Pelodiscus sinensis: one gene and its partner. Each later gene encodes a partner of the first gene's protein in a complex. Links are inferred from orthologs where the notes say so. Each region holds a gene or a part of one and is shown in the gene's direction. Other genes may lie near its edges.

Region 1 (15,061 bases):
ACAGTTCCCTGAAAACATCTCTTCAATGTGCAATGGCAGTCTAAAAACTAAAAAGCTAACAGAAAATTGGGAATGATTAGGAAAGGAATAGTTAATAAGACAAAATACCATATTACCTCTATATAAAGTCACTGTATGCCCACATCTTGAATACTGTATGCAGATTTGATCACTCCATCTAAAAAGATATATTGTATTTGGAGACAGTACAGAACGGGCACCGGAATGATTAAGGGTAAGGAACAGCTTCCATATGAGGAGAGATTAACAAGAATAAGTAAATGCAATCTATTCCTTCATTAACAGAACACAAGAAGCTTAACTGACCCAATTAAATATATAGGCAGCAGATTTAAAACAAACATGTGATGGGGGGTAGATCATGAAGATTGCCTCTTCTATTTATTCCTTCTGAAGCACAGGGCATTGGCCACTATTGGAAGACAGGATACAGGGCTAGAAGGATGATTGGTCTGACCCAGTCTGATACGTTTCAGCTCTATATAAGAGTATCTGCCTCTTGCTGTAACCCACAAGCCCCCATTCCCCTTCCAGAGCTGAGAGAGCATCTAGGAGTCCAGATAGGGCGTTGGTCTCTCTCTCTCCACAGAGTTAGTAACTAAGTATATTAAAATTTTAAGACTAACCAGTGTTCCTTAAGTGACTTGCCACAAGATGTCAGCATATGTTAGTATTAGAGCTGAATAGGTCTAATATTTAATCTTTTTCTTTTATATAGGAATTGGATACAGTGCTCCTGTCAGTTAATTGCTAAGTTGTCTGCCCAAAAATGAAGTTTTCCAGTGCCTTAGTAGTTCATGGATAGAGATTAAATGTGTGGTGGGAGGAGGATAGGGTTGATTGGTTTGTATGAGCATGCTCAGTAACACTGCTAAAGCCTCTTTTCCTCAGTCTGCTGCCCCCTGCCCCATGCTTGTACTGTCCTCCCCCATCACAACATGCACAGGTTGGCCACCCCCACCAAAATCTGAAATGGTGCCTCTGCTGAAGAGTGGAGCTTTGCTTTCCCTCTCGCCTAGCTGCTGCTGGTGAGTGCAGGGCACCAAGCACCCCTCTGCAGGGCCACACAGAGGATCTTGGCCCCTTGCTGCTCCTGCCTGTGGAATCTGGAGGAGCATGGGTCCCCTCAGCCCCCAATCCCCATGTGTTGCCACTGTTTATTGACATGATTTGTTAAAACTGAAGCCTAGACATTGAGAAAGGATTGGATGGAAGTGCATGTGTTTTGTGGTGGGCGTGTGTTTGACTCAAAATGAAAAGTGAATAGGGAAGGGAAAAATCACAGAAATGTAGGACTGAAAGGGATCTTGGTAGCCATCTAGTAGGCCAAGTTGGTAGGCCAACTAAACCATCCTTGACAGCTATTTGTCTTTAAAATCCCTAAAGATGGGCATTCCACAGCCTCTCTAGGTAATTTGTTCTAGTATCCACCCTAATAGGCAGGATGTTGTAATGTCTAGTCTAAATCTCTTTTGCTGTAATTTAAACCCATTGCCTGTTCTGCCCTCAATGGTTAAGGAGAACAGGTTATCACTCTCCTCTTTATAACAATCTCAAAGACAGTAATGCCTCCCTCTCAGCCATCTCTTCTTCAAACTCAGTTTTTTTTCAGTCTTTCCATGTAGGCCATATTTTCTAGACCAATAATCATTTTTGTTTCTCTCCTCTGGACTTGTCCACATCTTTCCTGAAATGTAATGCGCAGAACTGAGCACAGTACTCCAGATGAGTCCTTATCTGGGATGATTAGAGAGCAAAACCCAATAATTCTTTCAAACAATACTCTTGTTAATACAACCAAGAATGACCTTCACTGCTCTTTTTTTTTTTTTTTTTTTTTTTTTTTTTTTGTGGCGGTGGTGGTGGTGGATGTCTGTTTGGGATTTTTTTGGCAAAAGTTTTACATTTTTGACTCATTTGGTTTGTGGTCAGCTATCTCCTTCAGATCTGTCCTGTGATGCTTCTTCTTAAGCAGTCTTCAGTTACACAAACAAAAATAGGAAATTAGTGTCAAGTGATTTTAAAATAAATTGTGATGTTAAACAATAATGGAATACCATTTATTTAAATATTTTGAATGTTTTCTACATTTACAAATATATCTTTCAATTATGACAGCACATAGTGTCACTTCATATTTATTTTTTATTACAAATACTTGCCCTGTTTTTAAAAAAAAAACGTGTTTTTTCAATTCACCTAATGCAAGTATTGTAGTATGATCTCTTTATCATGCAAGTTGTTCTTCTTCTAAATGAAGAATTATGCCAAAAAATTGCATTCAATAAGAAAACAATATAAAATTTTGGAGCCTGCATTTCACTTAATCCTTTGTGTTCAGCGTATTGCTCAAGCAAGTTTGGTTACAATCTGCAGGAGATAAGGCTGCCGGCTTGTTTACAAAGTCAAATGAGAACATGCATTTGCATGGCACTGTTGTATCTAGCATTGCAAGACATTTTATACCAGATGTTCTAAAGATTTGTGTCCCTTCATGCTTCAACCACCATTCCAGAGGATATGCGTCCATGTTGATGATAGGTTCTACTCAGTAATGATTCAAAGCAGAGTGGACCAACATGCTCATTTTCATCAGCTGAGTCAAATACCACCAGCACAAGGCTGACTTTCTCTTTTTTTTTTTTTTTTGTGGGGGGGGGGGGGGTTGGATTTTGTAGTTTCCATGTTAGTGTTGCTCTTTTCAGACTTCTGAAAGCATGCTCCGCCCCTTGTCCAAAACCTGAGACAGCACTTCAGATTCTTAAACCATGGGCCAAGTGCTGTACCTATTTTTAGAAATCTCACATTGGCACCTTCTTTGCATTTTGTCAAATCTGCTGCGAAAGTGTTCTTAAAATGCACATGTGCTGAATGATAATCCAAGACTGTTATAACATGAAATGTGTGGCAGAATGAAGGTAAAACAGAACAGCATGCGGATAATTCTCTCCCAAGGAGTTAGTCACAAATGTAATTAATATATATTTTACTAGAAGACTTACCTGGCATTGCCTGGGTCCTTCAAGGCAGAATTCTGGAGGTGGGAAATTGAGGGTTGGGGGGTGAGGAGGAGCTCAGGGCAGGGGGTCCCATCTGGCACAGGCCTTTTCTCTACTTCTTACCTCCAGCCACCAGGGGCGTTTTCTCCTCTTCCCCCCACAGCCTCTCCCAGCTGCCGAGGCCTGCCTCATACCGAATGATGAACAACTTGATGCCCCAGCCCTACACGCCAAATGTGCCACAACAGCAAGCAAGTGACGAGGCTAGAGTATTGCTCACTTGCATGGATGTATGCTCACCAGTCCTTGCCCCCAGGCCTTAGAGATAAATGATATCTCCTCAAGCACACATGCCCAGTGCCCTGTATGCTGATTTATATCTTTGTTGGTTGCTCCGGGCACTCAAACGGATGCATCCAGGCTGCTGAGAAAGGGGTGTTTGTTTCTCACTGAATTCTTTGCTTCCCCATTTTTCTGACATGGATTCTCTCTCATGCAGAATTCTCCAAGGAATAAATAACAAATGATGAACTTCTGCTTTAAAGTTCAGAATTTACCTCAGCTTTTTACTATGGAATTGTTACCAGCAACTTCAGTATGGAGTTGCACAGTAAGTGCCTTTCAACTCTTTTCTATGATTTCACTATTTCACAATCTTGTGGCACATGCAAATATCAATGTTCACTTTTATGTACAATTGCAACATTTGTCATTAGTCACCCAGCCATTACCAATTTCATAACTTCATACCATAGTTGGCAGTTGACTAAGATTGCAGATATCCTGTGGATTAGCAGACAAGTGTGTGGTGACTTTAAGTGAACGTTGCTGCTATTGTATACAAAGGAATGACCGATAATTAGTAAGTATGAAAAATTAAAGTACAAGGGAGTAAAAATTGTAACTGTGGAGTGCAGCCAATCCCTTAAGTAAAAGTACATTTGTAAAATATGATGATGCATATTCTCAAAACAATCTTAACTGTTGTATTGTTACCCAAGCTCCATTTATAAATCTGAAAACATTTTACTGCCATCCACTGTCAAAAACTATCAGACCTGGCTCATGAGCCTTACCATAGATCGGTGTTTCTCAAAGTGGTCTGCTAACTGGCCACACTGGTATGGCTTCCCACAGCTCCCCTTGGCTGCAAACAGCGAACAGCGAAACTGAGCCAATAGGAGCTGTGAAGCTCCGTGGCTGTGGCACTAGTAAGTAAACAAACCTGTACAGCTAGTTAACAGTTTCTCAACGTGGTTTCGCAGACCACTTTGAGAAACACTGCCATAGACCATTCTCCAGTTAATGTTCTCATAAAATACTGATTGCTGCAACCAGAAAAGTGCTAGTGCTAAGTGTTGCTTCAGATCCAGGGCAAAATACATTGCCTTAAGCAATTACTGCTGAAGGATGCAGTCTTCACTTTGGGGAAGGAAATGTATGTATTTAAATTGTGTTTTACCCTCTATTTGCAAATTTGGGCCCAGATTCTTATTTACATTTAAGGCTACTTCACACTGCCCCTGTAGTATTAAAATCTGCCCCAGTAGGGTGGGAGAAGTTTCAGGAGATGTTGATAAAATATTGTTTCTTTTCTTGCATAAATATATCTTTATTTAGGACTCAGCAAAAGCTGTTTGCTGAGCATGCAATACTTGGTTCTGCTTTGTTGAGGTCGTTACTGGAAATGATCTAGAAGGCTTCAAAGAGCACACAGTCGAAAGGGCCAGTCCTACGAGGTGCTGAGCATCCATGCCTGCAGCAGGAGTTCACAGTGCTCAGCACCTTGCAGAAGGAAGCACTAAATTAGACAACTGCCACCCAAAGATGGACTCACAACAGGCTTTACAATTATTAACAGACAAAATAAAAATCACTGCAACTATCTTTTGGGGAGTGAATTGCAGCAACTGTTTAATCACATTCAGCAATGTGTTGCAACAGCATAGGAAAGGAAGCAAAAAACACAATATTCAATGTAATCCTATATCCACAAGGGGAATTTAGTCTGGGATTAATTTACCCTACTGTTATGAAAATGCCACTCTAACAGAACTAGAGGTAGAAAGGATCACAGTTTTATGATTCCTTGAAATTAGTAGTGTGGGGATTTTGCAGCTCCTAGGGCAGGGGTGTCCAAACTTTTTTCAAAGAGGGCCAGATTTGATGAAGTGAACATGCGTGAGGGCCGACCATTTTGCCTGACATTCTTTGAACCATTAAAATTAAATGCAAATTAACTATTTTATGCAAAGTTTATTGCAAACGGCAAACGACATAACACCAACTATACATGTTGTGTCCAAATATATTTATAACTGATTTAGACCAACTGACATTAACTGAGATTTTACAATGTATTCATCTCAATTGAAAAAAAAACTTGCCTACACTAATGTGAAGGGTGAAACTGAGATCTGGACTGCAGTACATAGGCTAGGTCTGGTTCAAAGGCAGTCCCTGATCTCAGCAGCTGCGGAGTCCGTCCCTGCACTCTCAGCCCCAAGGTAGAGGGCTTGCAGGGTCAGAGGCAGGCGGAGAGCGCAGGGCACGCTGGCCTCACGGCGGCCCGGGGGCAGGGCGAACCCGTAGCCAAGCGGGGGAGCGGGGCTGCGGACGTGCCCTACATGGAGGACTTTAGGACCGCAGCGGCTGCCATGGACGGCAGCAGCGCGGCCGGAAGCGGCGCCAGTCAGAGGAGCGCCGGGGAGCCAGGAGAGGGGGAGGAAGCGGGGGCTGTCCCTGCACTCTCAGCCCCAAAGCGGAGTGCAGGGGCAGGGTTTGGGACCGCGGCGGCGGCGGTGGCCCGAAGCGGCGCGCTGAGCGCGCCAGTTAAAAAAAGCACCGGGGAGCCGGGAGAAGCGGGGGGCCGTATTAAATCCGACCGCGGGCCGCATTTGGCCCGCGGGCCGGACTTTGGACATGCCTGTCCTAGGGAGACAGAAAAATGTATATAAAATCCCCTATTTTAATTTAATGACGGTGTGTGAAGGGCCATCCTGCATTGAAATAAATGTTAGCAAGAATCCCAAATTAGCCTGGATATGCTCTGAAAGCAGAAGCCTATTGTAGCTATTCAGGCGAGGTTGTCCTAATGGGTTCCTGCTCCATCAATGATGATAACCAAAAGGCTGCTTGCGAGTGTGCTCAAAGATGTGTGCCTTGTTGACTTGCACAATTAGCTAACACAGAAGACTTTGAGAGAACCCTCAAGGACCACAAATCAGATAAGGATTGAAGGTTCCCAGACAGGTTTATAGTTAAGCAAAGTACTGTAATAGTTGTCAGAGGACTCTACTGATCCATATGTAACCCATAACAATGGACGGACTTGATCAGTGGGAGACCTCCACTGCCCTCCCCCTGATCACCACTTTATATACAGGTACAAACAAGTTACACGTCACTCCAGACGTGTCAGGCTACAACCCTCTGATGCTTATATACCACCCATCACCCCTGCACCTTGTGGTTCGATTAGAATATCTCTGACCATCATACTGTCAGTTTAGACCCTTTCCTAAACTTCGGTTGGTATCTATGGGGAGTGTGGGTACCAAGGTCTTTTTTTAATGAGCTGGTGGTACCATCCTCTGGAATGTACTTTCAACTTACAATCAGTACCAATTACTGTTCTACACCTGGGCCTACTACCAATTCATATTTTGCATCCTCAACCCAATTCATGCCAGGTTCTGTGAGCAGGGGCCTGCCTCTTACTCACAGCTTAGCTTTGCTTTATATTAGCCAAGTTTTGTCCATTGTTGCACAGGCCTGGAATGAGGCCTAACTAACATGCACTTTTGTTTCAGGCCCTCCTCTTATTACACCAATATTTGGGTTTAAGAAGCCAACTAGGGCAGGATTTGTCAAAGCACCTCTCATGGCCTCCTGTGGCCATCAAGGGTTTTTCTTGCAGCTACAGCCTCCTGCATAGGTGTCAATTACGTGGGAATTCCAGGCAGGGGCATCCATGGAAAAAATGAGCAGGTGTTCAGAACCCGCTGTCAGCCAAGCTCTACCCTCTGCTCCCCCTGCTCTGAGCCCCTCTCGCCCACCATGTACAACTGTTCTGCAGTGTGCAGGACACTCCAGGAGGTGGAAGGGCAGGGATGGAGTGCACTTGGGGGAGGGAGGGAGAGAGGCAGGAAAGAGCAGGGCTGGGAAGAGGTGGGCTGCTGCTTGGAGAAGAGGATGAAATGGGGACGGGGCCTGGGGTGGGTCAAATACCCTGTTTAGAGAAGACGTTATCACCTATGGCCTCAAGGGTTGTTATGGGGTGGGGGAGGGAGGGAGAAGGCAGCTCCTCCACTGGACCCTCCAGCAGGGGTTTAGACCCTGTCCTCCTCTGAAGAAACATTGGAGGAGCAGCCAGCCAGTGGATTCCCCATCTTCCTGGAAGTGGTAGGGTCAGGCCTCAGCCTTGGGGTGGTAGGCAGCAGGCTCCAGCTGGGGAGTTTACCATCCCTTCCCCATTGCCCCTGGACCTGCTGCCTTTGCTGGCCATCAGGCTCTATCCATAGGGCTTCAGGCTCAGACCCTGACTGTGCAGAGGTAGGTGCTGTCCCCCATTACACCCTGTCCCCTCACCCATTTACCACATTGTCCCTGACCCTCACTGCCTCCCTCAGCACCCCCAGGTCCTCTCTGACTCTCCGGGCTCCTGTTCATTCCCTATATTGCTCCTGTCTCCCTACTTACTTCCTCATCAGTGCTTAATTTGACCCCAAGCTTCCTGTGGCTGAGTAAAGCCTTGTCTCCGCTTACCAGAGATTGAAGCTGCAGAGATTGACTTCCCTAGGGGGCAATTTAATGGGTCTAGTAAAAACTCACTAAATTGACAGCTGATCATACTCCTGTTGAATCTGGTACTCTACCAGGTCATGAGGAGAAAGGGAAATCGACAGGAGCGTCAACTCCAGTCTGCTAGTCATGTAGCTGGAGCTGCATACCATAGTTTGGGTTAGACCAGGTCTGCATTTGGGGACAAAGTCTGCAGTGAAAAGTGATGTTTGTATGTCAGTTAATGTGACTTTTCACAGCAGACTTTAGAAGCTAGTCAGGAAACTGTAAAAAAGTGATATTAACACACCAGTATCACTTTTTAGGAAAGCAAAGTTACGAGCTAGCAAGTCTAAAACAACCAAAGAATCAAAAGAAATAAAAAAAGACAAGAATCTACAAACACCTTCTTTATGTTTCTATTCTGTGTAGATCCAGTAATGAATAGACACAACTGTATTTTTATTACTGAGTATACAACACTCCCTATAGAAATAAATTACACTGATTTGGACATGTATTTTTCCCCCTAAAATTAAGTATTTTAGGAAAAACTGTCTAAGTGCCTGTCAGCAAAAGTTAGGGGCTCCACTGCCAGGCCACTAAAAGTTGTTGTGAAAACTCCTAATAGGTCTCTGTAGTAAAAGTGAGGTGGTTAGAAAAAGTCACAGCCATAACCATTCCCTGCGGGCCAGGGCTACTGTCTAATAATCCATGTTGGAAAATCAGCAGTGTGTGGAGCCCCTGGTTCCGAAGTTATTTCCTCCCACCCGCAAGAGATTTACAACTTGGGGTCAGCCTGGCAGTCCAAATTAGGGTGATCAGATGTCCCGATGTTGTCAAAACCATCCTGCTATCAGTGGCTTTGTTTTATGCAACTGTACCTCCCTCCTTCCCCAAATCCTGGTTTTTCACTGATCCCTCTAATCCAAGAGGGCACCAACCATGCTCTCGTGGAACCTCCATTCCCTCCCCCCCCCCCCCCCCCCGGCTGCAGGGCGCACAGGTGTGCTTCGCTCCCATCTAGGCTGAGAAGCTATCGGATGCTTCCCCCACAGCAGGAGCCCCTACGGTAGGGTTTGCAGGGCAGCCAAGAGCAGAGCTGGGCAGGTGGCAGCGGCCCCCGCCACCCCCCGGCTCCTGAGGGCACAGGGTGTGCCGCTGCGTGGGGAAGGAAACTTGCGCAAGAGCAAAAATAAGGCCCAAGCCCCCACCCAGGAGCCCAGCCCTGCCTCCCGGAGAGGAACTTCCCATCGCCGCAGCCTGACAGAGGAAGCTGGGGCTGAACGACACAGCGTCTCTCCCGCCCCGCGGCACAGTATGGGGCCGCCGCCAGGCAGCTAGAGCCGCAGCGGAGCCGAGCGAGGAGCCGGCCATGCCCAGGAAGGATCCCCGGCACCCGGGCCCCGCCGCGCCCCAGGCGCTGCCCCTGCTGCTCGCCCTGGCGGGGGCCGGGGTGGTGATGAGCCAGCAGCGCTTCGCCCTGCCCCAGCCTCTGTCTATCGACAACATCGCGGCGACCGGGGACAGCCTCCTGCTGGCGGGCGGCAACTGCCTGTACCAGCTGTCCCCGTCCCTGCAGGAGCAGCTCGGCCTCCGGCTCCTGGAGGGGGCGCAGAACTGCACTCACCCGGCGGGCACCCGCAACAAGCTGCTGCTGCCCGACCTGCAGGGCGACCGCCTGCTCACCGGCTGGACGCTGCACGGCGGCAGCTGCCAGGTGCGGCAGCTGAGCGACCTGCAGCCGCAGACCAACCAGAGCGAGGTGGTGAGCTGCCTGCCGCAAGGCTCCACCACCGGGCTGCTCTTCGCGCCGCTGGAAGACACCGAGCGCTACCTGGCGCTGGCCGCCGCCTACCAGGTGCCCAAAGTGAAGACCATCTGCGTGTCCTCGGTCTCGGACGCCAACACGGCGCTCACCATGCGCCGGCTGCAGGACCTGAGCCTCACCAGCGGGGACTCGGCGACGGTGAAGCGCAAGGAGCCGCCTCTGCACTTCGTGGACGCCTTCCTGTGGGACAAGCACCTCTTCTTCCCATACTACCCCCTCGGCGAGGCAGAGGCGCAGCCCAGCGTGGCCCTGCTGCGGATCCCGGAGAAGTCCGCCCTCGTCTTCAACCACTTCGGAGAGGTGCGCCTGGACTGTGGCGGCCGCGGCATCCTGCTCTCCTCCAGCCTCCTGGGGGCGGAGGGCTGGTGGGCCGGGGTCTTCAGCACCAAGCAGAGCGACAGGAGCTGGAACTCTACCGCCCTCTGCATCTTCAGCACGCAGGAGATGGTTAACCACAGCGGGACGACAGGCAGCAACTGCCGCGATCAGATGATAATCAATGAATCCCCCAATTGTGTGAGTCTCCCCTTGACTTCGCTTAAGCGTCCCGCGGAGCTGGCCCCCGCCAAAATCCCCGTCCGAAAGCCCCTGGACGCCAAGGGAATTCTGAGCCGGAGCCCGCGCCCAGGGACCTGGCTCTACAGAGAATGGCTAGAGCTTTGTGTGTCCTCTAGGCATTGTGTGGTGGCTGGCCCCTGAGGTAGGTCGTGTCATTTCCCTTACAGAGCTGGGAAGAGAGAGACCCGCTCGGGGTTACATCTCAAAGAAAGGTTAGGACCAGGATTGCAGTTGAGGAGAACCTTGCTTCAGAGTCCCTAGGGCTCAGCCTCCTACATCCTCCTGCCATCTAGTCATGCTTCACCTCCCCCACAGCTGTATAAATAGTAATTATGAATACTAAAGATTTCACTTAGGCAGAAACCCAAGACTGGTGGAATCATTAAAGTTACATCAAAGATTAATTTGGCCTGCTACATTTACTGCTGTTGTGAAGTGTGTTGAGGGTCTGTCTTCTTCACATTATTTATTACTTATTTATGTCAGTGCCCACTGCCCCGTGCTTTCCAGTCCTTCAAGGATATTCCCTGCTTTAATGGGCATACAGACTAAGGCCAGCCAGACGAGTGGACAGCGCTTAGGGGAAAGGCAACAACAGTAGATGTTGGCTGCTACTCCTCTCCACAGAGGCATTGCTTTTTAGAAGCATAAAGCCAAATCCTGTCTTCTAACCTTGGGCTTGTATTAATTATCCTGTGGGAGATTCCCTGGTCAACCACTTCTCCAACACTCTCACTCCTGTCATTTTAACATCTGTGGAGTCAGGGATCCACACAAGACTGGAGGGCTAGAATGACTAACCATGCCTTGCTTTATTTTCTGGTAAATTGTGCGGGAAATTTGCTGGAAAATGAACTCAGCGTGAAATACTGCTTCTGCGGGGCTCTTGTGCACTGTGGAACCCAATGCCCTGTGGTATTCTGGGGGCTGTGGCCAGTGGAGCACAAAGGAATGGGAAAGAGAACCAGGGGGACCAGCCCTCTGTTGAGAGAGAACTGATCTCTGACAGATCCTCCAACACCCAAGCATTCCGCAGTTTGATCCCCTGCCTCTTCTCCATTGGGCAGCTTCCTCCAGTAATGGACAAAGTATTTTGGAAACTGCATGAGAAGTTGCTATCCTAACCACCATTAGGGAAGCAGTCTGAGACCTTTCCAAATAAAAGCTGCAATATAAGTGTCAAATATATTAAAAATAGCTAGGCACATCAAATATAATTAAAAATCTGTCCCCTTCTACATGGAATTGTAAGACTAGGTGGATGAAATCTTGGCTGTGTGGAAATTAGTGGCAAAACTCCCACTGATGTTGGTGGACCCAGGATTTCACCCTCCGTTTTCAGGTGTCAGTAACTCACTTTGATTGTTTTGATTACTGATGGTAAAATTAATGAAACGAGTTAATAAAAACTCTCCCCTTCCCAAACAATGGTTAATAAGAAATTGAATGTTGGATTCTGGTTCTTTCATTATTAAGTATTTACATGATTTCTTTATTGGCGCTCTAAGATTTTTTTTTTTTTGGTGAGACTCTAATCCATGGCAAAAGTGAATAATATACTTCCAATAGCAATCCACAAAAAAACCCCAACCCTGAATACATATTTTGGACAACTCACATATCAGAAATACTAGAGAACTATAGTTGTGACTTTTAGGAAAATGGGTGTAAGGCAGTGCAAATATAGGTTGAACGTTTCTAGTTCAGCACCCTTGGAACCTGACTGGTGCCAAACCAGAGAATTTGCTGAACCATGGGAGGTCATTATTGTCTAGCAGCATTACCAATATTTCTGAGCTCTTAGAAGACATTTAGGAGTAAATTAGAACTAAATAACAGCACAGAACACTAACATCCAGGATTGATGGCTATAACAAACTTTATGGGAAATTTGGCCATGCCCATGATAAGTGGACATCCAGTTAACTAAAATTATGCTGGACCATGGATGTTGCTGGACCAGAGGTGCCATACTAGAGAAGTTCAACCTGTACTAGAGTCTATAAGGCTGTCATCATCACTATGTTATCTAAATATCTAAATATGGTACACTGACATTCATTATTTTGAGGACTAGTTCTGGCTTAGATTACAACTATAGTCTCATTATTATAGCAATAAATTCCATCTTTCAAAAGGCTTATCTTTACTGGAAAATTAGGTTGTATTAGAATATGACCATGAGCAGTTGTGTTATTTAACATGATGCTAAACACAACATTGCAGACAATATAGACTTATCACTATGTTTTAACATGTCACTAATTGGAACTCTAGAGCTAATCATGCCCAACTGACAGTGTTAATCATCTCTGGTTCCTACCTACACTGGTAGTACAGTCATGTTTAACATTTTGCTAGATTATATAAATCTTGAGTTTGTGTTATACCATGGCAAAATTGTTGTATGATGCCAACCCCAAAGGAGGCATGATATTCCCTTTAGTATAATTAATTAATTAATTAATTATATACATTTACAGGAAAGGCATAAAAACAAATGCAATTCAGTTTTTAAAAGTTATTTTACACCAGCTTCTAGAATAGGCAAACACAGAACATGTGTGCTCACTTCATGCTTGCATTCTTTATCTTCCAGATATTTCTACATGCATTCTTCTGTCCTTGCCACTCAAAGTGCAAGGTGGCTCACTTCCATAAAGTGATGCCCTTTTGAGTCAGAAGTGTGCATGGGTTCAAAATCTGCCAAAAAACAAAACAAAACCCCACAAATTGTCACTGAGTATGCAAAACTTAAAAATCAAAAAGGCTTTTGGGCATGAAGGAGAACTGTGTATCCCAGAACATCAACTGTGCATCATAGAAGATGAATGGAAACACAGCAGATAGTGGGCAGTGGTTCTTATCTGGCTGCAGTCATGGCACCAAAATATGTTGTATTATTACTGCTTCCTGGAATTGGAGCTCTAAGCTTTCGTGTGGCTGGTGGACTTATCTGAACAGAGCCCTGCCTTTTGCAGCAACTCTTAAATTCAAAATAAATTGCAAATCCTAGTTATCTTTACTGTGTTCTAAATCAGTGAAATAGTATGGTCCATCCAGGCCTGTGTACTTAGACCTATCATGTTGGCTCTCAAAGTGGTACTATATTGGAGTGCAGCCCTCAGCAACAGTAAAATAGTTATAAGCCACAGCTTTGTGACAGCACTCTTCTGACTTGTGTGGGAATTTCCCACTTGTTCACATTCACACCACTGCTTGCACTTCCTGAATGTTGCCTGTGTGTTGTGGTTCTGAGTAATATGCAAAGGGTTTGTTTTGCTAGGGGGATATGCACACTGGATCAATTATATACCTACATTTCATGCTACAGTGGTTTGCATATTCCATTTAAACTGAAAGTTTAAATGGAATGAACACTCTGGCTCTAATCTAGCAAAACACTTCAGCAGGTGCTTAACATTAAGCATGCCGATAATCAAGCTGACTTGAAAGGAACTGTTCATGATTAAAATTAAGAATAGATGTTAATACTTTACTGGGCTGAAAGCAGAGGGGATGTGGGTGTATCAGGGTGTGTGATTGACATAATATTGCTATTATAGCTGACCGGAATTGTGCTTGCGCTCTAGCAATTGATTTAAGAGTAGCATTCCAAACAAGTACTTTTAAAAATGACTCCAATGCTCATTATGTCATATGTTGCATTTTTGGCTGTATGACTGGACCAATTATGCTTTGATTTCATATAGTGGGATTTTCACATGGCATTTTGTGCTATGTTGCTACATGTATAACAATATACGATATATATACAATTTATAGCTCTCTGATGAACTAAGCATCATTTATGCAGTTTTGTAACCTTTTGCTCTGATTAATTTTTCTCTGATCCAAATTTCTGTTGCCTTAATTTTGGGTATATCTAATTAAAAATACAACTGAAATATATGTCTTAATGAACACCAAAATAGAAACTATATACAGATAAGCACCTTCTATTCTCAGAACAATGAATGCTTTTTCAAATGCAAAATCACCAAATTAAATCTGAATTTGTTTTCAGAAATTTGTTTGCATGCCAGTGAGCATTTTTTGAAGCATGCAATTCTGAAATGGGAGCTTTTTGGCTAAAATACATGAAACACACTGGCTGTGTCTACACTGGCCACATAAAACGGAAAAGCCATGCAGATCAGGTAAGTCAGGATAGGGAAATCCGCGGGGGATTTAAATATCCCCCGTGGATTTAAATAAACATGTCCACCGCTTTTTTTCCGGCTTGGGGAAAAGCCGGAAAAAAAGCATCTAGACTGGCGCGATCCTCCGGAAAAAAGCCCTACCTGAGGTAGGAATAAGAGATCCTCCGGAAAAGGGCTTTTTTCCGGAGGATCGCGCCAGTCTAGACGCTTTTTTACCGGCTTTTCCCCAAGCCGGAAAAAAGTGGCGGACATGTTTATTTAAATCCGCGGGGGATATTTAAATCCCCCGCGGATTTCCCTATCCTGACTTACCTGATCTGCATGGCTTTTCCGTTTTATGTGGCCAGTGTAGACACAGCCACTGGGTATCTGTTCGAATGACCTTTGAAGTCAGTGAGGGTATGTCTGTACAGTAGTGTTATTTCATAATAACGTTCAGCTGGAGGACTTCTTATTTTGACTCATGATACCCCTCATTTCATAAGGAGTAAGGGAAGTCGAAGGAAGAGCGTTCTTCCTTCAACTTCCTGCTGTGTTAAAAGCTAAAAGCTGAATTAAAGTATTTCAACTTCAGCTAAGCAATTGATGTAGCTGTGTCAATTTAGCCCAGCTGTGTAGACATACCCTGAGAGTCTTTCCTTTTTGTGGGCTTTGAGCATGCCATATAGAAACTACTAGAATATCAAATCCTGGTGAGAGATTATGTG
Region 2 (14,935 bases), on another chromosome or scaffold:
AGAAGGAGAAGTTCCTCGGAACCCTTCTGCGATTCAGTAAAATACATTTTTATTAAGAACATAAGAACGACCATACAAGGTCAGACCAAAGGTTCATCTAGCCCAGTGTCCCGTCTGCCGACAGTGGTCAATACCAGATGCCCCAGAGGGAGTGATCACAACAGGTAATCCTCACGTGATCCCTCCCATCACCCACTTCCAGACAAACAGGCTAGGGACACCATTCCTACCCACCCTGGCTAATAGCCATTGATGGACCTAACCTCCATGAATCTTCAGGGAGTAGCTGAGGTAGTCTGTACAGGATAAACTTTCTAACTCTTTTTTGAACTCTGTTAAAGTCGTAGCTTTCACCACATCCTCTGGCAAGGTGTTCCACAGATTGATTGTGTGCTGAGTGAAGAAAAACTTCTTTTTGTTTGTTTTAAAACTGCTGCCTATTATTAAGGGAAATGTGATTCTTTAAAGTACCCCGGGGAGGTTCCAGTGCGGGTCTGCCTTGGCATCTGAATGTCACAATTCAGACGAAACTGCACCAAATCCACCACGGAGGTGTCTGATACCTGCCTCAAATTGACTTGCAAAGCTTCCAGGAAGGGCAGACAGCTGATCCATGAATAACGTTTTGAATATCTTTGGAATCTTCCTCATTTCTAGTTTCACTCCAGCCCTTGCTCAATAAAGCTAGAACCCAGACATCTGGCTCAGCTAGTTTTGGTCTGAGCATCTGATGAGCAATGACAGTACTTCAGACAGACGGTGTTGCTCTACTTTCTGTATTCAACTCCTTGCGTTTGTGTGTTCATAACAGCCGAACTCTGCCACTCACATCAGGCTGGAGTCCATCCTGGGTTCTCTGGGCTGACCAACCTGAGCCTGGCGCACAATCGGAGCGAGCCTGGGTAAAGGTATTTTAAGACAACTTTACATCCCCTGGCTCGCTCCGTGAGCTGGTTTGGTCCATGGTGCCAAACACATCACTGGTGCTACACATACTGGTTGGGGATTGCTGGAGTCCAGGATATCAAAATTCAGGATCCCCTCTTCCAGTGCATCTCAAATTGGGTAGAAAAATTCTACCTTATCCCCAGATTGAACCTGCCAGCTCAGAGACAACAATACTTTACAGGAAACTCTGGAGCAGGAAACAAAATTTGGCTTTGCATGGAAACTGGCTTTCTAGCTTTGTGTAAAGTGCTTTGGGGGTTTCTGGGTGAAAGGAACCATGTAGAACAGCGGTCACCAACCAGTCAATCAGGATCTACCAGAAGATCGTGGAGCCTCTGACAGGTGACCCTGACAGGTATGGCTGGGAGGCTGTCAAGTACCAGCACTTCAACTGCCCCTCCTCGCACTGCCCTGCTGTTCCTGCCCGGAGCCTCAGCGCTGCCCCGGGAGCCTCTTGCTTGTTGTGCAGGGTGGGGCAGACATAGGCAGGGGGTGCTGATGTCACTCTGTCCCCCTCCCCTGTACCCCATCTTCCCAGAGTGAGGAGTGCAGGGGCCTCAGCGAAGGGGTGGAGCAGGGATCTGAGAGAGATCCTGGACTGACTTGAATTTAAAAAGTGATCTTGTGCCTAAAAAGGTTGGAGACCCCTGATAGAAATATCAGACCCTGTGCTGGCAGTTCTGCACCAGGGACACTAGGAGGCACTCTAGTGCAGCAGCGCAGCAGCCAGACTCAAGTGTGCCCCAAAACAGACAAGCAGTAGCTGAACTCTTAAGGGCAGGTCCTGTCTAAATCCTGCCTTGGGGCCCAGCTCAGGGCTGCTGGTTCTAGTCTAGCCTGGGCACTGTCAAAATAGCAATATCGTCCTCCCCTGGTACTGCACTGTAGGATCTGAGCGCCCACACGTCTTTAGTCTTAAAAGACCAGTGCTGCGCCTGGCATGGCCTGTTGTAAAATGCCTCCTCGGTAGGGATCAGCATTAAACCCCAAATGGGCTTCACCTCCCAGCTCCGGGGCTGCCAGCGAAAAGCCTCCACCCCACACTGAAAGACAACAGCAGCCTGGGTGGCCTTGGTTTGCCATTGCTCCCTGCTTGGGACGCTCAGCCTGGCTCGCCTCCCTCTTCCGGACGCTTCTCACCTCCCTCTCCTTCCAGACCCGAGCCAGAACTCGCTGGCATCTTTGGAAAGTCTCCCGTTATCAGCAAGGGCTTTACAATCAGCTGCTCTCCTGGCTCCGGTGCTTTTTCTGGCCCTGAATCAACAAAGCACTTTGGCCCGGGCTGAGCGTGTGTTGAAAGTCCCCTGGAAGCACGTGCTCATGTGCTTGGCTGACTCGGGGCCTTGCTAGCCTGCTGGGGAGGAGACATCCGCATGGAATGCATTCCCCGCTTGCCTAGAGACCTGATCACCCAAAGCTTCTGCTGACCGTGTGGCGAAGTTTGCCTGCGTGAGGAGTGTAACGATACCCTAGCTCCTTGCGTCGAATATACGTCTGACGTTCGGGGCAGACCCACACAGAGAGACCCCCCGCTCCTCGTCAGAGAGCGTGAACTGTGCACAGGCGTGAGGACTATGGGACAGCTGTGTACACAGTTCCAGAACACCAACTGGGGATTTATCACCTTCTCTCTGAAATCCTTCAGCAAGTTAGATTTTCAGAGGCACAGAGGGGAGCGAGCCATTTGAGTCTATAAAACACACATACACACACACAGCATGCTTTTTTGCTGTAAGTTAAAGGTAAACCTTCGCAAATCGCCCAGCCTCGCTGCGCAAACAAATCCTAAAATCTGAACAACACTTTGATCCCCCCCCCCAATATAAAACTGAATGATGAAACCTGCAACGATCTTTTTTTTTTCCAGCGGGATTGACCTGTTTCCCATCTCCTCTCTGTGTTTGCAAGTTATTTTCATTGGGCTGCATGCTGCTTGGCCGTCCTTTGATGGCCAGCTCTGCAACAGACTGAACTTTGGGGGGACCATCTGTATGACCAGATGTGCCAATATTACCGGATCTTCTAGGGGCTTTGTCCTTTATAAACAGCTGTGACCCAGATCCTCTGGAAAAAAGAAGTCCTGATATTTCACACTTGTTAATAGGGGAAAATCATCTTTTATTCTATGGGAAAGTGGAGTAAGGGTAGCCCCTACTCTGTGCTTGATGATTTGGTTTGTATTATAACTCTTTTGTTTCCATCACTCTCTTGTTTCTAGTAGGAGCTCTATTTCCTACTTAAACCAACTATCTTTCAAGTGGAACAAAAGTCTTGCAAGGTGTTAGTCGGTGTGGATGTTTGTCTTGAGATGAGACTCTCTAAGTTTGAAATGTCATTCTTGAAGTTTTTCTGTTTCTTGTATAAAATACTTATCAGGTGGTTCCTTAATTTCTTGGATAGTGTGAGGCAGAGTCTTTCACTGTAGTCAGTAAAGTATGTTGATCTTAATGGATTGTTCACTTTCAGTCCTTTGGGTACGATGTCCATCTTCTTGCACTTGGATAGAAAGAAGATGTCTGTCTGCATCTGTGCAAGTTTTTTCATATGGTTTTCCATTCCAAACGGCTAAATGTAGTGCCGTGCATGTAGAATAGTGGTAGAAATGTAGCCGTGTTAGTCTGGTGTAGCTGCACCAGACTAACACGGCTACATTTCTACCACTATCTTTCAAGTGCTGTGTGTTATACAGGAGCAGTGGTTAAGGTAAAATTGATGAGGAGGGGGGTACATTGCTTCTCTGAGAGTAGAGGGTCTCAGGTTCCTGAGTTGTCTCTGGCCGGGGTGCTATCCCAGGGGAACCATAGGGCTGTAAGTCAAAGAAAGGGCTGCAGGAAAGTGTTTGAAAGGCCGAAAGGCTGCTAATGTTAGGACGACATTATCTCTCTCAAGACCCAAGGACCTGCCCATAGGGAGCTGCATGAAAACAGACATCTAGAAATAAAAGGAACTGTCTGGTAGAAACATTGACAGTGATTAGCTGGAGAGCTGGGCTGGAGTTCAAGCTATTTATAAAACCATTGTGTGTCTGGCATACGCTCCGGAATAAACCCAGAGATTAAAATGGATTTAGTGAAGAGGTTTTTTCCTCCGTGTCTCAGAGGGGCAGCTGTGTTAGCCTGTAACTTTAAAACCAGCGAGTCGACCTGTGGCACCGAAGGAGACGTCTGCACAGCAGCGTGATTTTGGAATAACCGACGTTCTTTTGAAATGACAGGGAGCGCGTCTACACAGCAAGCTGTGATTCCAAAATAACGGCGAGCTGGAGGACTTCTTACTCCGACTCCTATCGCCCCCATTTCACGAGGTGTAAGGGACGTTGGAAGAAGAGGGCTCTTCCTTCGACTTCCTGCTGTGCAGACAGCGCCATAAGCCGAATGAAGCTGTTTTGACTTCAGCGGCGCAATTGACGTTGCTGGAGTGGCGGAGCTTAATTCGACTTTTGCCCTGCAGTATAGACATGCCCTTAGTAGCTAACAAAAATATATATCAGATCATGAGCTTTTGTGGGCAAACCCCACTTCTTCGGATGTTCTTTTTTTCCTGTTCTATCTTTTAGCTCCCACCAATAAGGCTGGGTCTAGACTACATCCCTTCTTTCACAGGGATGCAAATTAGACAGTTGGAACTTGCAAATGGGGCGGGGATTTGAATTTCCCATCCTTCATTTGCATAATCGCATCATGGCGCTTTTTTGAAAAAGCGCCATTTCGAAAGTAAAACCGCAGTCTAGACGCGGTTCTTTCGAAAATGGCAGGCTAAGTGACTAGGGTAGGCCCTGAAACAAGACCCCTTGATGAGGACGCTCGCAAACTTTGGGTGAGTTAGAACTAAACACTGTGGCCCGGAGATGAGTTCTTCATGCCAGGCTAAAAGCACTTGGGCTATCCAATGTATGGATGCAGCTCATGCAAGACTCGATTGTGGTTTTTTATTACAATCAAAGTGAGACTCTTATCTCACCCTCGCCTGAAAATTGACCTGTCTGGAGTTGGTAAATGCCTCAGGAATGCTGATGACTGATGCAATCAATTCTTTTGGGTGCAGTTTCTTGCTCCATGTAGTGGTACTTAGTCATCTTAGGAAGAATGAGCGTGCTCCTTAGCTGAGAGCCAGCTGCATTTAGCTCCTGCTGTGTAGAGGCTCATGCACTCAGCACCAGAAGTCTCAGGTTTCGTTCTGCTTTTGGCATTCCACAAAGTCGACCAACTAGCCAGCGGTTCAGGGGACCATAATGGCATCTTCGGGACTGCCAACTCCACCTCCCTTTCAGACTATTAGTTGAAATGAAATACCATTTTCCGAGATCACTCTTTTCCATGTTAATTGAATTTGCCAGGATTTACCTATTTGGACAAAAAAAATCACAATGTGAACCAATAGCTTCATATTTGTTATTATGTGATCTACAATGCTGATCGCATTCAGATAGTCTTGACTTGGGTAATGTTGTAAAAATAGTACAGCTTGGACCGCTCTCTGGCACCCTCAGAATTTGCCGAACCAGAGAATTTCCGAAGCATAGGAGGTCGATATTGTCTAGCCGCATTACCAACACTTCCACTGCTTACTGGGTTCTTAGAAGACACTTAGGGGTAAATTAGAGCTAATTCACAGCACAGACCACTGAGCGCCAGGCCTGGTGGCTGTAAATAAACTTTATGGGACCAGGGGAAATTTGGCCACACCCATGATAAGTGAACATCTGGCTAACTAAAATCATACCAGACCATGGATGTTGCCGGACTAGAGAGGTTAAACATGGGGACTAATTGTATATAGGAGACCCTCACAATTCATGGGATCACTATTCCCGGTTCTGCGTATTGGCCAGAGTCTCCTGCCTGGACTGGGAGAGGGGACGATGGTGGGGGATGGGAGCTATGGGGAACTCGCCCCATTACTGGCACCTGCGGTGAGTTCCCGGTGGCTTCCCGGACCTGTGTTGAGTTCCCTGCCGCTGTCCGAAACCGTGGGGAACTCACTGCAGCTGCCCAGAGCTGCCCGGAATTCCCCACGGCCCCTGACCCCCGCAGCGAGCAGCTCCTGACCCCTGCGTTGAGTTCAGGAGCAGCAGGGAGGTCATTGTGGGGACTGGAAGCCGCGGCTCCGAGTATTCACAAATGTTGCCATTTGCAGTGGTGCCAGGAGTCCTCCACCACGACTGGCAAAGGGTTCCTGTAAATGCCCAGCACAAAAGCCGAGCTAAGATAACAATGCGCCCTTGAAAACCCTGTGTAATGTCGCTTTTGTGTAGACAGCCCAAACAGTGGGTGCAAAAAACCTCTTAGTCTCCTATTATCTTCAACAGCTGCTGGGGGCTAGGAATGGAGGCTTATTTCTATGTACTACGCTGCTGATTTCTAAATGATGGCCCAGTGGTTCATGTAGTGTAAAGGGGCATTGCTGTGGGCACGAATGACCCTTGCGCTCACTTTTCGGCTCTTGCCTGTTGCCAGCGTGGTACATTAAAATTGGACCCCATTACAAACGTGTCACCACTTCTGGAGTGGAACGTAACAGCTGTTTATAAGTGAAAAGCAAAAGGGCAGCACAACATAGGATGGAAGGGGAAGGAAGACATGTCAAACTGGAAGTACAGGAGGGAGATAATGACATCATCTCCTTTTTCCAATGTCAAGGGCTACAGGTTTCTTGGATGAGGTAAATTGCCTCAAGCCTAGACCTATTTTACAGATAGAGAAACTGAGCCATGGGAAGCAAAGTGACTCACCCAAGCTCACCCCGCAGGCCAGTGGCAGAGACAGAAACACAATCCAGTTCTGTGTCCTAGTCTAGTGCTCTACCTACTAAACTACGCTGCCTCTTCTGTGGCAGACCATTGCTGGCTTTGTGACTTTTACAGTGAGCCTCACAGGAGTGGGAGTGAACCACCAGAGTGAGGGGAATATGCCAGAATTTCAGCTTTCCTTGACAAAATAGTAAGTTTCTATCCTTTGTGGGTGCAGAGGAGGAGCTTGTAAACAGGAGCCCCAAAGGCTAGACAGGCAAGGGAAAAATCACCCCTGTATTCTATTCCAAAGCTCACCGTTTTTAAGACAATCTCATGATTTTGGGGGCCTGCTCTTATAACCCCTTTTCCCAGTGGGGTAACAGCTTGAGGATTGAAGCTAGTTTACCAACTAAACTCTTCCGATTGGCTAAGGGACCTATAGGCCCGCCTACTCGGTATATTTAACTGCTATGCTATCCTGGCAGAAGTATGCTGCCAAGCTGTGCCGGAGAGATTGCAGGAGAGATGGGTCTGAACTCGCACACTGCCTGTCTTTCTGTCCTATGGACCAGCCACCTGTTTCTCCTGACAGCTGGGTACTCCACGGTAAACCCTAGAATTATCCTCACAGCTCCACAAGGTAAGATTCAAACGGCAGCTGCCTGCCTGAGCCTTGCACTGCTTCACAGGAACCTTGAAATCTACAAAGTGTGTGTGTACTTGACAGACACAGGGAGACTATCCCTGTTGGTGTAACAGTCTCTCTCTTTTCTCTGTATCATGTCGCTTTGGGGGGCTTAGTCTTGATTCATTTTGGCCTCTCGCAGGGAGATTGAGGTTGTGCTATAGGAAAAGGACCTGGCCATTTTCTGATGTGTGTTAAGATCTTTCTCCCCCTTGATCAGTTTCTTCATTTTCATAGAGGTGCCTTCTTTTTCTTGACCTTTCCGTGGTTTTTTATTTCAACCCCTTTCTAAACGCCACAAATAGAATTTAAGGCGGCTGTTAATACCCAGTCCCTGTGGAGACGTTGTAGGAGATACTGTCCCTGCTGCAACACACACACTGAGCAGCTGAAAAGCCATGTCAAACAGTTATCTTTCTATGTGTTAGAGTGACTTGGCCGGCTGTCTCTGCGCTAGTTATGCGGAACATTTAGTCCTTCAGTCTCCTGGAGCAGGAACTGAGCTCTGAGGCAAGACAAATCCCTTAATACAAAGGATCCATGTTGCAGAGGAGGAAGTGTATGCAAAGTGCCCGAGGGACCCATATGAATGTATAGAGTAAAATAGCTTTTATGGATGTCTCTTCCCTCCATGCCCCAGCTGCCTGGTTAACGTCGCATAGGAAGGCATTAACAGAAGGCGCAGCGGTGTTTCTGACTGAGATGTTATTCCACGCTATTTGTCTGAATCACGCAGACAGCTGGGCTCGAATGCTCTTGTCAGCCGGTGTGACAAGTAGCTTGTCGGTACAGGATCCTTTGTCCCCTTTGTGGAGGGCACGTTCGCCCCCAGCTCTGGCCCAGCTTGGCTGCTGTTCTTCAGCCGTGCGGCTCGGAAGCAGCTGCTCAGGGCGTTGGGAGCAGGTGGGGAATATTGAGGCCTCAGAGTGAGACAAAGGTAATCCAGGGCAGAGCTGATGCTGTCATCTTCTCTTTGTGTGTCTGTAAATAATGCAGACCAATGATACAAGGAAATGAAGACATAGATCCCTGGCAGGGATTGTCTGAGGCAGTGAGTGTTGAAGGGATGAATAATTTCCATGGAATTCCCTCTTAGGAAAAAACCATCAGATCACCTGCTTTTGGCTACATGTGAGGGGGAAACACCCCTTTCCGAGGGAGCGTGCCCCAGTGGGAAGAGCAGCAATCTGGCTTCTCTGGCACCTGTTTCTCTCTGGCCGTGCCCCCTGCTGCTTGTCATGCTGTTGTTTATCCTCTCAGAGTCTTCCTCCGTGTGCCCCGAGATGGGCTCCCTGGCATGCGACGCAGGGCAACACGGCTTTGGAGCGCATTCGCGAGACGGGCGATTGTTAGCGCTTTTCCTTCAAGCCGCTGCTCCTGCAAGGTGCTGATTAGCTGCTTTGGTTCAACTTTCTAGCCCTCCCGGCCTTGGAAAAAATCCACAGCATTTGGCCTAAGACCCTGAAGGCTCAGATGTAGGAGGCAAAGGAAACGGACCCTGATGTTTCCTGTTGTTTCAAATCTCAGGATTTTTTTATGCCAATCTTAGGATTTTTTGGGGACTTGATTCCTGGTGGCAGTGGGGCGGGGGGGAACAAGACCCAATATGTTGAGCCGATCACTCTTGGGTGGAATCTTTGTCAGGGCTGGCCCACAACATTTTGGCACCTGAGGCGGGGAGCTCAAATGATGCTCCCATATCCCCTCGCTTGGGTCTCAATTCTGCCTTCTTCCTGTTCTACTCCTCTCATGGGACTGCTCTGCTACCTACACCAGCAGCCAACACAATTTTCTACACTCTGGGTCCTAGTGGCGCCCCCCCCACAGTCAGGCACCTGAGGTAGCCACCTCAGTTCGCCACATGGGAGGGCCAGCCCTGAGCTTTGTGCTACTAAAGCCAGCCCGGAGGAAAGCGCCTCAGGCAAAACCATAATCCAGGCTTTATTTTCCCTTCCCCGGCTGGTGTCACTGGCTCAGCGTCTCTCTTCCAGAGCGATGACCCCATGTCAGGCTGGAGACGGGGCCCCTTCCTCGCCAAAGGGGGCTTGGAGGTTCCCAAAGGCGGCGTAAGTTTGGGGGGTGAAGAAAACTGCTTTGCCCAATGTTGCTGCACATGAGGGGAGGCATGAACATGCCTGAAATGGAGCAGCAACATCCGGCTGCGCATGGGCCACCCGTGTGGGCACCACAGCGTGACTCTATTTCTCAGCCTTCAGAAAAACACAAGAACCCCAAAGCAGAGAGAGGAAAACAGGCAGCTCCCCAAGGCAGAGAGGCCCCGTTCAGCTGGCTTGCTCCAATACTGATCATGTCATTTCAGACAAAGGCCCTTAGCCGGCCAGGATGCTCAGACCTTCCCTTCCCCCAGCATTTCCAACGCATCCTCGATACAGCTCCGTTTCCAGGCATGGGCTGCGCGCTACGGATGTCGAGTATCAATTAATTGACTAATCGAATAGGCGATGCATTTTGCATCGCCTAGTCAATAGGGCGCCTCCACCTTTGAAGTTGCTAGGGCTGTTGCTACACTTCAAAGATGAAAGCGTGGAGCCCGGGATCAGCTGGGGATTCCTCTCCCCTCGCCCCTTGCTGCCTCTATCTGCAAAGCCACCCTCTGTGGGGTAGCGCTCCCCAGCCCGGTGCTGTAAAGAGAGATGGGACCTGTAGTATAGAAACTGGATAGGTAACCCTTTAAATAGCTCCAGGGCTGTCTAGCAGCCCTGCCTGTCTCTAGTGAAGACGAGCCGAGGGATCTGACAGAGGTGCCGCCTGGCACTGTGTAAACGCAGGGATTTGGGGACCCAGCCGGGTACTTGCTCCTCCTCAGTTGCAGCTTCGCATGGGGGACGGGCAAGTCCAGATCTGGACCCAAAGCTCGTTGGGCTCATTTCTACTTGCAAGGGTTTTCCAGCTCCCTCCAAAGCCCGTGCGGAAGCGAGGCCCAGGTGGTCCGTGGGCGACTGGCACGGCACATTTCTCGCGCAGATACGGGAAGTTGTGGAACTCTGGAGTGTCGCAAACCAGCCTCCCAATCAGAGTCGGAGGCCTGGTTACTCCCCCGCTTGGTGCAGAAGGAAGTGTCTGCAGGCTGGGACACTGTGGTCCCTGGCTTTGCTTGCAGAGCTAAAGGCCGCGGTGCCAGGCTATGCTTTAGGGTTAGGAGCATTTGGCTCCCACGCTGAGCCCCGGCGTGTCAGATCCGACACGGCTTAGAGGCCAGTGTGACTTCAGGCGCCACCCGCGGAGGAGGGAGATGCCTCATCTGCCAGGCATTCTGGCCTGCATGCTTCCGAGGCAGGCGCTGTCTGGAGAGAGAGCCAAGGGGAGAGGTGCAAAGGGTGCACAATGGGTTGTTGCTGCTTAGGGCAGGGGGCTGGACTCGATGACTCCTGAGGGCTCTGCCCGCCCTAGGCTCCTATGATTCGGAGGGCTGCTGGCCAGCGGTCCCCGAGGGCTGACCCAGGTGGGAGACGGGGGCTCGGGAGAGCAGAGCCGGCCACGCTAATGCATTATGGCAGCAGGTGTCAGGAAAGGCCCAACTGTATGCCACTGTTCAGCCACTACGTGGCGCTGCGTGTCAAATGCCCCTACGGAAGCTACCCCAGCCACGTGGGGCAGGACGGGCTGAGGGGCAGGTGTGTATCTCGCTGAGAGGGGATCTCCCTGGCACGACTGTTGGCAGCGCACTGGGGTCTGGCCCCCACGTCGCCAGGATCCCCCGACTCCCAGTTAGCAATAAGGGAAGGGTAGGTGGGTGTGGCTGCAGACACCTGTTTATGACCCCTATGTCTCCCCACGTCTCAACCTGGGCGTAGTTTGGGGGTGTTACTCCCCTCGCTGCAAGCCTCGGGCAGGTGCGGGGCAGCACTGCAGATCAGCTTCCCTATCGTGAAGCTCAGCCCCTGCCCGAGGCTTGCAGGGGGCAAGGCTGCCTCCGCCCCCAAACTCTGCCCCTGTTAAAAAGTGAGGGGATGGCCCCTTAGCCCCTCTAGTACCAGCCCAGAGGATGGTTAGTCTCTGCTTGGCTTCCCGATGGCGGGAGTGAAAGGCCGACACGTGCGTCTCTGCCTGAGGTTTGACAGGCAGCTGGTTCGAATGAGGATATGCTGAAAGGTTGCCCCGGGCAGGCGTCAGTCTGCTCTCAACAGTGGCCACGTTTTTCTCCTGTGCCATGCTGCCTAGCTCATCGGCGTCTGTAAGCCTCTGCACGTTGCTCTGTATGCGCGAGTCATCGGTGTACAGGTTGAAGTGGAGCAGTACTAGCACACTGCCTGGGGGGGGAGGGGGCGGCACGTCGGGGATGCCCCTGATCCTGCCCCCCCCCCACCGTAGCAGCAAGATGAGACTCCGCCAGCCCGTAGAACAGAGAGGGCTTATTGCTTCTCCAGGGTACAGCGCAGCCTAGACGTGTGTAAACGTAAGGAGTCGGGCTGGCAGCCCTAGATCCCTTGGGGTAGGGGTGCCTGGGCTGCTCAACCCCCAGAACTCTGCTTAGTTTCTTCCCTTCATGGTTTTCCTGCAAAAAACTGCCCGGCTCCCAGGCCCTGCCCCCTAGCCAGGTGGCCGTCTCCGCCTCCCCTCCTTTGTGTCTCCCCCTGGGAAGAGCCTTGTTATCTGCTCAGGCTGGGACTCGGTGTCTGGGTCATTCCACACGTGGGTGAGTCAGTGGGAACCGCACCTCACAGCACAGGGGAACCCCTGGCTACAGAGCAGACAGCCCCCCACTACGTCCCGGGGGCGGGGCATGTTGCTTGCACAGCTCTCCGTGAAGCCGCCTCTTGGCCAGGCGAGATCGGCTGAGCTGCGGGGTGGGTGGCCGTCCCCTCGGAGACTCTGGCGAGCTGGTTTTGGTGGCTCCCTGGATGATACGCTGCTGACAGGTCTCCAAACCCAGCGCGCTTGTCGCTTTCTGTGGGGCAGTGGCCCCCATCCCTCCAACCCATCTTCTACATCAGGGCGGGGAACCTTCTTCGGGTCAGGGGCCACTGCCCCACGGAAAAATCAGGCGGGGGCCACACTCAAAAACCCCTCGCTGACATGGCGCCCGACTAGGAAGCAGAAAGACCCTTCCCACATTCCCCTCCCACACCAGAGACCACGGGGGGCCAGCCTAGTAGATTTTGGGTGCTCTAGCCCCAGGAGCAGCGGGGGAGGGTATGGGGCACCAGCACAGGCTCCCCAATGCAGGGGGGGGGCGTGAGCCTCGGGGGCCGGATCCACCCCTGTTCTAGATGCTGGGTGCTATTTAGCGCTGGGCAGGTCTTTCCTGGTTGAGGTGCTTCTCAATGTGAGGTGGCAGAGGACGAGAATTAGGGGTCTGTGAAGTTTATCAAGTGTGGGGGTGGGGACCCCCGATTGAGGATCACCCCACTGAAGTCCTAGCTGAAGATGGAATGAGACAGCCCAGCTGTTCCTCTCACTAACCATGGTGTGTCACCAGTAGGTGCCCATCCCCAGCATCTGTGCTGTGCCAGCATCTGCTTCTCTAGGGGAACCTTTTTTGATCCTGGACCCAGTCCCTGGCCGGCCAGATCTAAGCGCCGCGACCCCCTGGGAAGACATCCGTCACCCCCTTGGGGGTCGCGACCCACAGGTTGCGCACCACTGCTCTAGGGAGTTACCGTCTTAGCCCATGGCTGTTGCTAGCCACCCTTCATGCAAGCGGGTTTCAAGTAACTAAAAGGGTGCTACAAGGAGCTGGGAGAAAAATTGTTCTCCTTGGCCTCTGAGGATTGGACAAGAAGCAAGGGGCTTAAACTGCAGCAAGGGAGGTTTAGGTTGGACATTCCTGTTGGGGGGTATTAAACACTGGAATAAATTGCCCAGAGAGGCTGTGGAATCTCCATCCCTGGAGATATTTACGAGCAGGTTAGACGGACACCTGTCAGGGATGAGCTAGATGGTGCTGGGTCCTGCCGCGAGGCCAGGGGACTGGATTCACGGCCTCTTGATGTCCCTTCCCGTCCTAGTGTTCCCTGGCTCTGTGAGTCCTTGGCTGCAGGGAGCTGGATCACCCAGAAGGGAGGGGTTGAGGAGCATGGAGCCTGGTAGAAACGTTCCCCCTGCGGCGGATGGGCTGTGTCAATTCAGCTGCTACCACATGCCGTGCAGGCGTAATGAGTGACTAGGGTCACTTCACGCTGATCGCCTCCTCTTGCCTGGAAGTCGTCAGCCTGGCCCACAGGCCGTGGGCTCCAGGGGTTTGTGGGGAACCTTTCCGTTCTCCCAGGCACTGAGGCTGGGACACAGAGGGGGAGGGAGAATCAAAGCAGGGAAGCCACATGGCGTTTCCGCAGCTGGGTTCCCATGACTGCAGCCCTGTTCCCCCGGGAGCACTGGGCACTTGGGGCGAAGTTAGCGGCTCGGATCTCGGTGTGTCAGCGTTTCCAGTGGAAAGCTCCTTTCCCGGCAGTCCCGATTTGCGCTGTGCTCATCTTTTCCCAGGGTGACTTTGGCACAGTGCTTTCAACAAACCCAGCAGGTGGCTTTCTCCCCTGCGGCCCCTCCTGTGACAGGAAGGGAAAGCAAACACATGGGCTGGGAATAAACGGTGGAAGGTTCAGGTTGCCTTGCTTGGCAGGTAGGACTCATAAATCGGCGTCAGTTTCCAGCTGAATCCCGTGCATTCAGCTAGCCCCGGCTCCTTCGCTGCCTTGCCCAAGGTGGCTCCTGTGAAGAGCCTGACTTCTGGGACTGGCCCCTGCTCAGTATTACAGCCTGGACACTATATAGCACAGTGGGACCAGAACTGAGGGTTGTCCTGCCCCCAAAGCATGAGGGAAATGCAAGAGTACCAAGGAACCAAGGTGGATAATCTGCCCCTGTAGAAGGATTCGCCCTTGGTGGTTAGGGATTGTCCGAAGCCCTGACGTTTAACACCCCTTCCAAAATTGTTCTCCTTAATTATAATGGGCTCTGGATACTTTTGATATCCATCCAGATCGCTCCTTTCCACTTTGGAATGTTAAGATCCTGAGAAGTCAGGGACTTCATGTGGCAGTGAGTTCCACAGTTCCGTCATGCCTGGTGGGAGCAAAAAGCATGATCCTCTCGAGCGGTCCCCTAGCCCTTTTCATCTGGAGATCCCAAAGCACTTTTTGGAGGATTTCAAGATGACTGTCCCCATGAAATATCCCAAGGGAATACCGTGTGACTCACAGGGTGAGAACAGGAAGTCACAAAGGCTTGCCAGCTGGCATGATGATAGTCTCATGTGGATCACTCACTCCCGGTGTAGGGTGCAGCTAATACTCCGTCCTGTGGTGATTGCACCATGACTTGGCCCAGACGGGGAAGGGAGGAATGTAAACAAGTGATCAGTGACTACCTGTGACTTAGAGAGGAAGGCGGGTCAATTTGGATGAGACACTGAATTCCTTAGAGTCAGAATTGCCTTCCCTCACCCAAGTGAGGGGCCGGGGCCCACGAGGGGCCTGACACCTGAAAGGACTCATTGATGCAGTGATGGGGACACAGGGAAGTACCTCGAATGGTTGGCAGGAAACCCGTAAAGAGGTGGGCGATGCCCCTTGCTCATCACGCGGAAGGTCCCTTCTCCTCCGTAAGGTCTG

What was found.
Region 2: the proteins of PLXNC1 (region 1) and SEMA7A are in contact, whole or in part, in a crystal structure (PDB 3NVQ), measured with the Homo sapiens proteins. The link is inferred for Pelodiscus sinensis from reciprocal best matches to the Homo sapiens genes PLXNC1 and SEMA7A. Residues at the interface, in NP_005752.1 of Homo sapiens: Arg131, Thr151, Glu152, Val153, Asn195, Pro196, Ala197, Ala198, Ser199, Asp200, His201, Thr203, Ala206, Lys208, Arg213, Ser214, Leu215, Ala216, Thr217, Gln218, Glu219, Leu220, Arg222, Lys224, Glu272, Ala350, Ser352, His353; in NP_003603.1 of Homo sapiens: Gln194, Tyr196, Asn197, Gly198, Lys199, Arg202, Arg204, Tyr213, Ser215, Asp216, Thr217, Gln270, Gly271, Gly272, Glu273, Ser274, Ser275, Leu276, Val278, Ser279, Lys280, Pro372, Thr375, Glu376, Phe378, Gln379, Asp382, Arg383.

Annotation. Positions count from the first base shown.
Region 1 is NC_134711.1:80,308,742-80,323,802, forward strand, and holds the start of PLXNC1 (plexin-C1), read left to right. Parts: upstream 1-9,033; 5' UTR 9,034-9,177; coding exon 9,178-10,149; intron 10,150-15,061.
Region 2 is NC_134724.1:35,579,874-35,594,808, forward strand, and holds the start of SEMA7A (semaphorin-7A), read left to right. Parts: upstream 1-7,157; 5' UTR 7,158-7,168; coding exon 7,169-7,319; intron 7,320-14,935. UniProt on the Homo sapiens protein: Plays an important role in integrin-mediated signaling and functions both in regulating cell migration and immune responses.